2 linked regions of the Arabidopsis thaliana genome follow. The protein of the gene in region 2 interacts with the protein of the main gene of each other region in a pairwise test. Each region holds a gene or a part of one and is shown on either strand. Other genes may lie near its edges.

Region 1 (5,446 bases), on a different chromosome or scaffold from region 2:
TCGGTTTCGCGCTTTCCAAATATACCACATTATCCATGGAAAGACCCGTAAGCTCTCCTCACAAGCTCCAATCTCATTCGCTCTCCAATACAGATAATCGAGATTATTGTATATAGAAGACGAAAGAAACCTAGATGGAGAGGAGGGAATACCGGATAGCGCCCAGACTTGTCTTGCCGGGGGACATTCAAATATTAAATGATTGATGGTTTCTTCATCCGCCCCACATCTAGGACATTTTTTATCTCTACCAATATGGCGAAAATATAGGCGTTGACAAGTTGCTAAACACTCTGACACACATTGCTACACAAAATGCTTTAGCTTTCGTGTAGTTTTTAATTTCCACGCTTGCGCCTTTAGTGCCGTAACACTAGGTCCCTGAAGAGGGTGGTCGCAAGACGGGCGAGAGAGGGCTCTCGCAGCTTCATATCTTGTCTTGACAGTATAATTACCGAACTTAGTCAATGTCCAACTATATCCATCTCGCGAGACATTTAGCCTCGGTTTTATCCCTAAAATCAAAGTAATATCCTCGGGGGGGGGGGGGGGGGAACAACTCCCGTAGACGATCTACTTTCCACCTCTTCGTCTGGAAGTCAATCAAGGTGTTAACGTAGACCAAAGGGTTCCTATCCATAATTAAACCTTTCGGTGGTCTTGGAGGAGTATCTGGGATCCATGGATAATAGGCGACTATATGTTCTAGGAGGTTGCACAAAGAAAAAGTTTGTTCTAGCATAATATGAGAATAGATGATTTACGTCTTAAAATTAAACTATCACCGACTAATAATAAGCATAATAAGATGTGACTAAAACAACTAAGATTAAATGATGATCATCATGACATTTGAAAATTATATAAACCCAAATCATAAAGAAACAAGAAACAATATGAAAACAATATATTCCTAAGATACAGCAAAAGTGGATGTATGTGAAACGTCCAAAGAGATAATTTGAGGATTAGCTGCGGAGTTCAAACATAAAAACGAAAGTTCAACTACTACTTTCATATTTAATTAATCAAAGTATTTAATTGCAAAACGGAACTTAACCTGATTGGATCCATAAGTATATTATCATTATTCTTTTACCAAAGAAATAAATAAATTCGTTTTTAATCATATTTAGAGCTATTCATGTTCTTGTAATCAATTAAAAGTTTCATTTGTTTACAAACATAACATCATATATACACTCAAAAACAGCAAAATTGAAATAACCATCTGACCAGAATGATGTGTTTGAACCAAAACTACTCTTGGAATCGAATATAGATTAAAAATATATAGTAAACTAATTTTTAGAGAGTTTGAGTGACTATTGACTAAACTATGCTTCCGTGAAGGAGGTCCCTTTTGCAAGTGGACATACGTGAGAGACCCACCATTAATTTGTCTTTGAGCCTTATTGTTGTTATTGACTTTTAGCCAATAGAAAGAGATGGAAATTCAATAATTATCCACAAAATTCCAAATCATTGGTGTACAAAAAGATCTAAGGCTGTTATATTTTCAAAAAAGAAAGAAAAGAAATGCAACAAATATGGATTAAACTGTGGTTTGTAAATTGAGCTTTGCATGAAAACTTTATCACTATGATTTCACTACTCCATATTTATTGACTAAAGTGGCACTAATGAATTTCTTAATCATGAAATCTTGTATCAAAAAGTACTAAAATAAACATGACATTGGCAATTAGGAAAATTCTAAATTAGAAATTAGTAAAAATGAAAGGTGAAAGGGAAAGATGATGATATGAATTGGTTGGTGACCAGGAGAAATGTATCCCGATTTTTGCAGACACTTTCAGTGTCCCCATTCATATAATTATGGCCCACCTCGTTAAGATTTTTCATTCACCACCATAACAAGATCTAAGCTTAGATTTCATGTAATTAAACATATAATATACTTGCCAATACTATCTAATAAAGTATACTTAAGCAAAAATTATTACTCTAGTGTAAGGCGATGAAATATAAGTTTAGTTGAAAATTTATGTCGATATAACAAAGTATAATGAATTAAGACCTTGGTTTTCGATTAACAAACTAATTAAACACTAGTTTTGCCTAATAAAACCGGGAATCGTATTCAAAACCGAACGACAAAACAAGGGACAAGTTGAGAGACAAAACCAAATCAGCATCTTTCTTCCAGAAATGTCATGACCACATGACGTCATCTTGACCCTTCTTCATTGTGATATCTGTGGATAAAGCGCACGTGTTTAATTCACGAACCTTCGTAGTAACGAAAAATCCACAACTTTCATATTTTTTAATTACCCACTAAACTAAAACAAATTTGGAAAAACATGAAAAACTTTTTCTTTTTTTCCAGGTTCGTGAACCTCGTACCCTCTATATAAACCTCTTAACCACCTTCCACATAGAAAAAAGTTCAGATATTTGATAAATCAATCAACAAAACAAAAAAAACTCTATAGTTAGTTTCTCTGAAAATGTACGGACAGTGCAATATAGAATCCGACTACGCTTTGTTGGAGTCGATAACACGTCACTTGCTAGGAGGAGGAGGAGAGAACGAGCTGCGACTCAATGAGTCAACACCGAGTTCGTGTTTCACAGAGAGTTGGGGAGGTTTGCCATTGAAAGAGAATGATTCAGAGGACATGTTGGTGTACGGACTCCTCAAAGATGCCTTCCATTTTGACACGTCATCATCGGACTTGAGCTGTCTTTTTGATTTTCCGGCGGTTAAAGTCGAGCCAACTGAGAACTTTACGGCGATGGAGGAGAAACCAAAGAAAGCGATACCGGTTACGGAGACGGCAGTGAAGGCGAAGCATTACAGAGGAGTGAGGCAGAGACCGTGGGGGAAATTCGCGGCGGAGATACGTGATCCGGCGAAGAATGGAGCTAGGGTTTGGTTAGGGACGTTTGAGACGGCGGAAGATGCGGCTTTAGCTTACGATATAGCTGCTTTTAGGATGCGTGGTTCCCGCGCTTTATTGAATTTTCCGTTGAGGGTTAATTCCGGTGAACCTGACCCGGTTCGGATCACGTCTAAGAGATCTTCTTCGTCGTCGTCGTCGTCGTCCTCTTCTACGTCGTCGTCTGAAAACGGGAAGTTGAAACGAAGGAGAAAAGCAGAGAATCTGACGTCGGAGGTGGTGCAGGTGAAGTGTGAGGTTGGTGATGAGACACGTGTTGATGAGTTATTGGTTTCATAAGTTTGATCTTGTGTGTTTTGTAGTTGAATAGTTTTGCTATAAATGTTGAGGCACCAAGTAAAAGTGTTCCCGTGATGTAAATTAGTTACTAAACAGAGCCATATATCTTCAATCCATAAACAAAATAGACACTTTAATAAAGCCGTGAGTGTTAATTTTTCAATCTAGTTTCATTTCTTACATGACATTCACGGCTTTATTAAAGTATTACACCATATCCCCTAATACAATCTCTTAACTCAATTTGAGTTCTATATTGCTAAGTAGCCAAAACTTGATCGAAGAGGTAACAATTACTAAAACCAAAATCCATCAACAGTAGCGCGACAATAAATAATAACCTATCTATTTTAGATTTTTTTTTGTTGTAAATGTTGTGAGCTTAAGTGTGTAATCACTTGTAAATGTTTCTGTTTGATACTCTTGAGAAGATGAAGCTGTCTAAGGTCGACAAGCAAAGGCTCTGCTAGAGAAAATTCATTTAAGCAATCAATTTATATCTTTGATTTTTGAAGCACATAAAACTTTGAACCCAATAAAGGTTTAGAATGAGAAAAACCGTGTCTCGCCTAGAGGATTCAGTATTGAAACCCAGTTATTCTCTTAATGGACTAAGAACGAATATTCTTTTCATTAATGGGCTTTAACCAACGAGAGCTGATATTTATTATTGTTAATGGGCTTAACCAGTTTGTAGCCCACGGATAGATAAAGAGAGGACCAGAACACAGTTAAATAGCACCCGCCGCAGAGAATAATAACTCAGGAAGGGTTTATAGATTAGGTTTTTAAGTCGCACCTCTCTCTCTCACTGCCGCATCTTTTCTTAGGGTTCTTGTTTCGCTATCTCTTAAACACAAACAGCTCTGTCCGAATAATCTCTCTTCAAGTACCTCTTTTTTCTGATTCTGTATATCGCCATGAATTACTGATTTCCCTCTCTATAAACCCATCAAAGTAAACCAATTTCTCCTGTGACTTGTACCTAACTCGATCTTACCAGACTGGTGATGGCGTCTTTGAACCCTTTCGATCTTCTAGGAGATGATGCTGAGGATCCAAGCCAGCTCGCTGTGGCTTTGTCTCAGAAAGTCGAGAAAGCTGCTGCTGCTGTTCAGCCTCCTAAGGCCGCTAAGTTCCCAACCAAGCCGGCTCCTCCTTCTCAAGCAGGTAAAAGTTCTTTCCTTTATGTTGATACTTAACAGATTTAGATTCAGCTGTGTTTTGTCTAGTGTTTGATTGATTAGTTCTAGTGAAGTTTGTTTATGGTTGTCATGAAAGATCCATAGTCAAATGTGTGTGCTTTTTTCATTTGCTGCTTTGTTAGTTTCTTCCGTATCTTATTTTGTTTCTCTACTGCTTTGTTAGATTAGGGTAAAGCTTAATACTTTGTTAGATTAGGATAAGTATATATATTGAAAGCTTTTTGTTATGAATGTAGTGAGGGAGTCGAGGAATGCTCCTCAAGGAGGTCGTGGTGGGACTGGTGGACGTGGTGGATTTTCCCGTGGCAGGGGTAATGGTGGATACAACCGGGACAACAGGAACAATGATGCTCCTGGAAATGAGAATGGATTTTCTGGAGGATACAGGAGACCTTCTGAAGATGCTGATGGAGCAAGCCGTGGTGGGTCTGTTGGTGGATACCGTGTTGGCGGTGGTCGTGAAGGACCTCGCCGTGGTGGAGTTGCCAACGGGGAATCTGGTGATGTTGAACGCCCACCGAGGAATTATGACCGCCATAGCAGGACAGGTCATGGGTAAGCTTTCTTTTTGTTCTGTCCACTACTTTAGTTACTACTTTGTTTGACTTCTTCTGTTTGTGATTCATTTATGTTAACTTGATGTTTGATAGTACTGGCATGAAACGTAATGGTGGAGGTCGTGGAAACTGGGGCACTACTGAAGATGATATCCCTCCGTAAGCATCCTTGTCTTCACTTTAATTATCCATATGACTTTAACTTTAGGTTGTTTATAAACTTTTGTTGTTCTTATATTAGAACGTCTGAGGAACCTACCACAGAGGTTGAGAAGAGCCCTGTTGCTGAGAAGCAAGGAGGTGAGGATGAAACCCCTGAAGCAAAGAAAGAACTCACTGCGGAAGAGAAAGCACAGAAAGAAGCTGAAGAAGCTGAAGCCAGGGTACAATCATTTACAGCTCTTGAAACATCTTTTGAGGTTTAGTTAAGTTTGAAGTAGAATGTTTGCTAACATTTTGAACTGATATGGTTTTGTCA
Region 2 (5,728 bases):
CAGCTAAATCCAGCATGTCTGAATAGCTTGTTTGCTAAGAAAATCAGCAACAAGTGTGTGAGGTAATGAACACTTTTTCAAAATGATGTTACCATATATACTATATATATTTGATATAAAGTAACCTTATCCATGTTGGGGACAAGATCTTGTAGCTTCTTTAGCTTCCCACTTATTCTCGTTCTCCTCTCCTATAATATAAACATATTGTATAGGTTAAGATAGGAGGATGGCAAAAAGAATAGGGTCTACATGATTAGGGACGATCAAATTTGTTGCTAAATTTAGTGAATTAATTATCCATCGCTAAATAAATTAAAAAGTGTTTATAACTGACCCGCTCAGCGATGCTTCTAGGATGGGTGGCGCAGCCGCGTTTGGCCCGGATTTTGCAGGGTACAGAATCTTCTGGAAGCTGCATGAAGTTATCCATGTAGTTCATTGAAGTGTCTGAAGGAAGACTATACTGCAAAACCAGTGATAAAAATATTCGGTAAGAATTGGCCACCAACAAAAATGTATGGCCACTAAAGAGTTTTGCTGCATTTACCTTTACTAGTTAATTTTTTTTTTTATGTCTATCCTAAAACAAATATTTTACATTTTTTTGTCCTTTTCTAGAAATTTTGAAATTTCATATAATTTGACTAAAGTAGCATGTTTATAGTAATAACACATGAAGAAAAAAAAAAAGGAATCCCACATGGAAACAAATAAATTGTACCTGCGAAAAGAGACCAGAGTCCATGTCCTTGGATCGTTTACTGGGCCTAGTCACGGTAAACCCTATCGAACCGGAACCGTCATCCCAAGAATCAGTAGTGGCTGCACCAAAGCTAGCCGCAGAAAACGAATGGCCTGAACCGTCGTGGACTGGGGTCTCATTGACCTCGTTGATCCGAGCCAGAGAGTCGTGATTCGTGAAGCTTAGCTGAGACTTCAATCTGGAATGTCCTCGTCCCCCATTAGACCCTCCTTGCGGACTATAATCACTGGTTGGTTGGTTCAACGAGAAATCTGATTTACAAAGTAAACTATATTATAATGACATTACGTGAAAATTATTTTTAAAAATAATTCACATTCACATCCAAAATATTAGAAACCATATAATGTAAGTAAATAAAGAGGGATTTTTGGATAATATGGATAGTTGAATTCCGGTTCAGGCCGGTGACCGGTTAGGTGTGGGAAGTCACATCCAGGCTTGGTGGAAGATATTATGATTAGATAACAACGAAGCAAAGCACGAATCATCAGGACCAAGGAAAAAATAATATAAAAGTGGACAGATCAGATCCACCAACTAGATCTACATCGCTTTCTATTTGAATAATCTTCATCACAACCAATGATATTTCGCCATCTCAGCAGAGAAACTATTGGTCATCAACGAAAAAATCCATCCTCTAAATAAATAAATGCAACTTGAGATATAGGAATCCTCGAAGATTTAAATAATATCCCAAATTAAGGGTAACCGAGCCACATTTTTGCTGTATTTTCAAGCACGTGGTTAGGGATCAAATGGTATTTTCGTCATTCCGAAAATACGAGGATCACGTCTTGCACAAGTACCAACCAAGCTAATTTAGCAACGACCCTAAATATCAAAGCTCACAATGTCAACTTATTTTATATACATAGTCGTTAATTAACTTGTAAGAAACTAGATACTTCACAGTGAGAAATACCGAAAATACCCTCGTGGTTAGATTTTCATTTCACCAAAAAACGGATCTTTAGTTGAGCAATGAATGATTGAATGACTGAAAACTATATAGCTCATATTCTACATTACGATTTTTGGCAAATTCTAAGGAAAAATGGTCTGAAAATGAGTAAACTTGTCTGTCTAAATATATATATCTCATCACAGTTACTATTCTTGAGTAAAAAAAGGACTAACTGTTTTTATCTGAGGCGAGGTAGGTGAAGAAATCGGCGGGAGAGCTACGTTGTCTAGCGAGAGAGTAAGATCCTGAGCTGTTTCCTCCTCCGATGTCGTTGCTCTTGTGTTGTTGCGAGATCTCGTTGAATCCACCGTAGGATCTGTCGAGGAAGATATCTTTATTACTATTATTATTATTGTTATTGCCTAGCTGTTTCTGTCCGTCGGATGAGTTGTTGACTCCACAAGTCGTCGAATCGGATCTCAGCGAGGATGAGTCAGCAGCTCCGGTGAAAAAGTTACCGATGAAGTTATCCGACGACGGTTGATAGCCGGTGAAGTCACGAGCGTTTGATGAGCCTCCTCCGATGACTTCGTCAACCACAGAGTTTAGAAACGATCCCGGAGCTGAGCCGTAACGGATCAGTCCTCCGCCGCCGGGAAGCGATGATCTCTGCGATGATGATGACGTGGAGGATGATGATTGGTACATGACTTCTTCTATCGCCAAATGGAGAGAGAGAAATCTGAAAAGTTTGGTTTCTAAAAGAAAAATAAAAGATGAGAGAGAGATGATGCTTTTGTTTATGGGGTAACAAAAAGTCTTCACTTTTCAGCGATTGGCTATTCGTTGGATGTCACATGTGTCTCACGTGATCTTCCGAAAGATATGGTATTAAATTTAAACCGAAATAAGCCAATCAAAAACCTTTATTAATACTTATTTATTTTGTAACGAGTCAGCTTAACCTTTGGGCTTTGGGGCCGCGAATATGTGGGCTGGGCTTGATAAAAAGATAAGCAACATTTGCGATGTCTTTGATTAAGTTTAAATTTCCCAAGATGTTGAGGTTTTCAGTGGAATGCAATTATTTTTCTCTAGTGTATATAACTCACATTGTTAATTTAAAGATTTCAAGATCACAGAAATGTTAAAGGTAAAAATTAAAATGATTCGATAAAATTCGACTTAATTGCTTAATAGTAAATTGAACAAACATAAATGCTTATATCAAATGCATGGTTCATCAATACTTTTTTGACGCAAACCTTTTTCCGATTGTAATTCAAAATAGTTCTGTTAATTTTTACCTAAACAATTAATATTGTTGTTATTATTATAAATAGAGCCCACAAATATGGACGTTTCCTCTTTCACCAGTTATTTTCAAATTTTCACAATAGTATATGAACTTCCACAAATGGAAAGAAGTAAAATTAAACGAGAACTCATCTTGTCTGAATTATATATCCATAAATTGGTGTGTAAAATGGAGTCGTAATTAAGATGCGTACGGATAATTAGCTACGACTGTGACATGCAAAATAAAATAAACGTTTTTCTGAAGAGTGAAACACATCTGATGCGCATGCAGGAATGATACACACATTGGTCTCCAAACGTACGTGTTTTTCTAGCCCCACCCTTATTGACCCCATGTGATTCGTAAGAAATCGAAGCTGAAATTCAAATTAGTTACTGTTCTAATTGTTATATATGTCTTTATTTTTATTGTCGAATGATGTGATCTGTAACCAAACTTCCAAATTCAAGTTGAATTATTTTCTTTCTTTCTTTTTCAACAAAACCTCTCGTGAACAGAGAATCCACATCGTGAACAAAACCTTTTTTCGGTTTTATGTTATATATAGAATAAGCTAGTGCATATATTTATAGATGAAAGCTTCCAAATGAGAAATTAAAAAGTTAAAAAAAGACCCTCGCATAACACGAGAAGGGACACATTTACAAATAAAAATGGGAAATATAGATAAAGATTGCATGTATTAATTAATATCTCAGTGAGTTTATTAACATTAAACCAAAAAAAAAAAAATATCTCAGTGAAAAAATAAATATAATTTAATATCTCCGTGAGTAATATAAAGACTCCGAAAGAAAAAGAGAGTATATGGAACTATTGCTGACGTTGTCTTTGACAAATAACATAGACAAATTGTATATATATTCGATGATTAAATTTGAGCATATAAATAACTTTATATATGAACTTTGATCATTTAGAACAAAAAATCAAAATATAAATTATACACTGTAACGATGTTGAAGATTTGACAAATGATTCTTATTGTTTTTTTTTTTTTTTTTTGCTAAATATGATTTCTTATTGTTCATTTTTAATCTTACAGGTTATAATGACGTTGAAGTTTTGACAAATGGCTTTGTCTTTGGCCATTATTTATATTTATAATCTAATACGTTGGTACCTCACGTCACTTCTACTATAATAATATACAATAACCAATTAACCATAACAAATTAATAATAGATGTCTGTTTTTATAACTAATAAAACAAAAAAAAATACATCTATCGATTAGGACTAATGGACTATAATATAAAAAGATACACAACAATGCTAATATGTACACGCCTGATATTGGATGATGTCCCTTTTTTTCATTCACAATTTTGAGTTCTTGTACTTCATCAACAGTTGAGAGCTTTAACCTAAAGAAAAGTATTATATTGTGAACTCATAGTAACTAAGAGAAGAAAATAATTATTTTTGTTCACATTGTGATAGATGAGACGCAATAATTTATCTTGGATGTGGAAAATATACTTTTTTGTATTAGGTTTTGCATATACATCTATATATGTACATTTCTTATGCTACGTAAAAGATAGGGCAATAATTATTTTGTCCTATCTTAAAAAAGAATCCAAAATTTTAGCTTGGATCAATCTAGACCTAAAATATATTATAATACAACATATGGTTGGATATAGAACAAAGTAGATATGCCGCATTGGTCGCTGCGTTTGTAAAATGCAACGCTTGACGTCGTCCCTTACTGAACATCAGTTCACTTGTTCTGTTCAAAAACTCGCCGCCAAAATTGTCTTCATTAACCGCCAATTTCGAGCATCTCGGACGGTTTACTAGAGTGATGTAAGTCTCGAGGTCATGGACACAAGAAATGTTTTGAACATCGAAGAAATCGAGGGTGAGTTCGACTCCCACGTGAGTGTAGCAAGAACAGCTCCAAGGAAGCTCGTAAACACCACCTAAAGATCTGAAATTCTCATTAAATAAGAAACCTGGAAGTTTGGTGATCGGATCGTTTACATTCGTGATCCTCAAGACTTTAACTCCTAGCTCCTCACACCGTTTTTTGAACCCCAAGTTACCAACTCTAGGACCAGCAAACGAAAACACGGTCACCGGAACAGGTTTTTCGTCCCTTCTCTGGTTCATACCGAGTTCCGCTATGTCGTAAGCTAGAAGCTGAGCTAGAGAACTCCCCATACTATGTCCCGCAAGTGTTATGCTTATTTCCTCGCCTTTGTGCTTGTTCATAAGCCTCGAGATCTCGGAGAGAAGCTGCTCACGGCAGCTTTCTAGCCCGAATTTGCTCTCGCTCTCACCGGATGTGTATAAACCTAAGAACCCGGATTCGACCTTGACATCAGGACGAGGGTTATGAGGATCAAGCCTAGCCGGAGTCAAAGAGCTCTTTAGGTTAGCTAACCACTCATGGTTGGTGACAGTGCCACGAAACGTCACCAAAATATCCCTCCTTCCCAAACGTTTCACCGATTCATCAGAAGAAACCGCTACATAACCGATCCAACGTGCACGGTTAGGCTCGTTCTTGATAGGGTTGAGGTTGATGTCTGGTGTGGCGTAGATATACTTGGTGACTTGGTAGCCATCAGGGTCATGGATTCCGGATTCTTTAAGCAAGTTCTTTTTTCCATACTTGCAACTCAAGTAACGTTTGGAGTTAGGGTTTAGATCAAACCCTTTGTAAGAAGCGGAGAGTAAGTTCCCGTAGCGAGTGATCTCTTGTTGGAGAATAGGGCTTAGAG

The links. Proteins that work in one complex are often made in the same cells at the same time.
Region 1: the proteins of AT1G05805 (region 2) and ERF2 interact in a two-hybrid assay, tested with the Arabidopsis thaliana proteins (one large-scale study listed by BioGRID).

Annotation. Positions count from the first base shown.
Region 1 is NC_003076.8:19,169,783-19,175,228, reverse strand, and holds ERF2 (ethylene responsive element binding factor 2), read left to right. Parts: upstream 1-2,272; 5' UTR 2,273-2,474; coding exon 2,475-3,206; 3' UTR 3,207-3,586; downstream 3,587-5,446. Other genes in the region: AT5G47210 (Hyaluronan / mRNA binding family), read left to right, coding at 4,217-4,376, 4,648-4,966, 5,062-5,127, 5,210-5,351.
Region 2 is NC_003070.9:1,741,499-1,747,226, reverse strand, and holds the start of AT1G05805 (basic helix-loop-helix (bHLH) DNA-binding superfamily protein), read right to left. Parts: upstream 2,784-5,728; 5' UTR 2,385-2,783; coding exon 1,910-2,384; intron 1,018-1,909; coding exon 725-1,017; intron 467-724; coding exon 338-466; intron 192-337; coding exon 126-191; intron 35-125; coding exon 1-34. Other genes in the region: DGL (alpha/beta-Hydrolases superfamily protein), read right to left, coding at 4,608-5,728.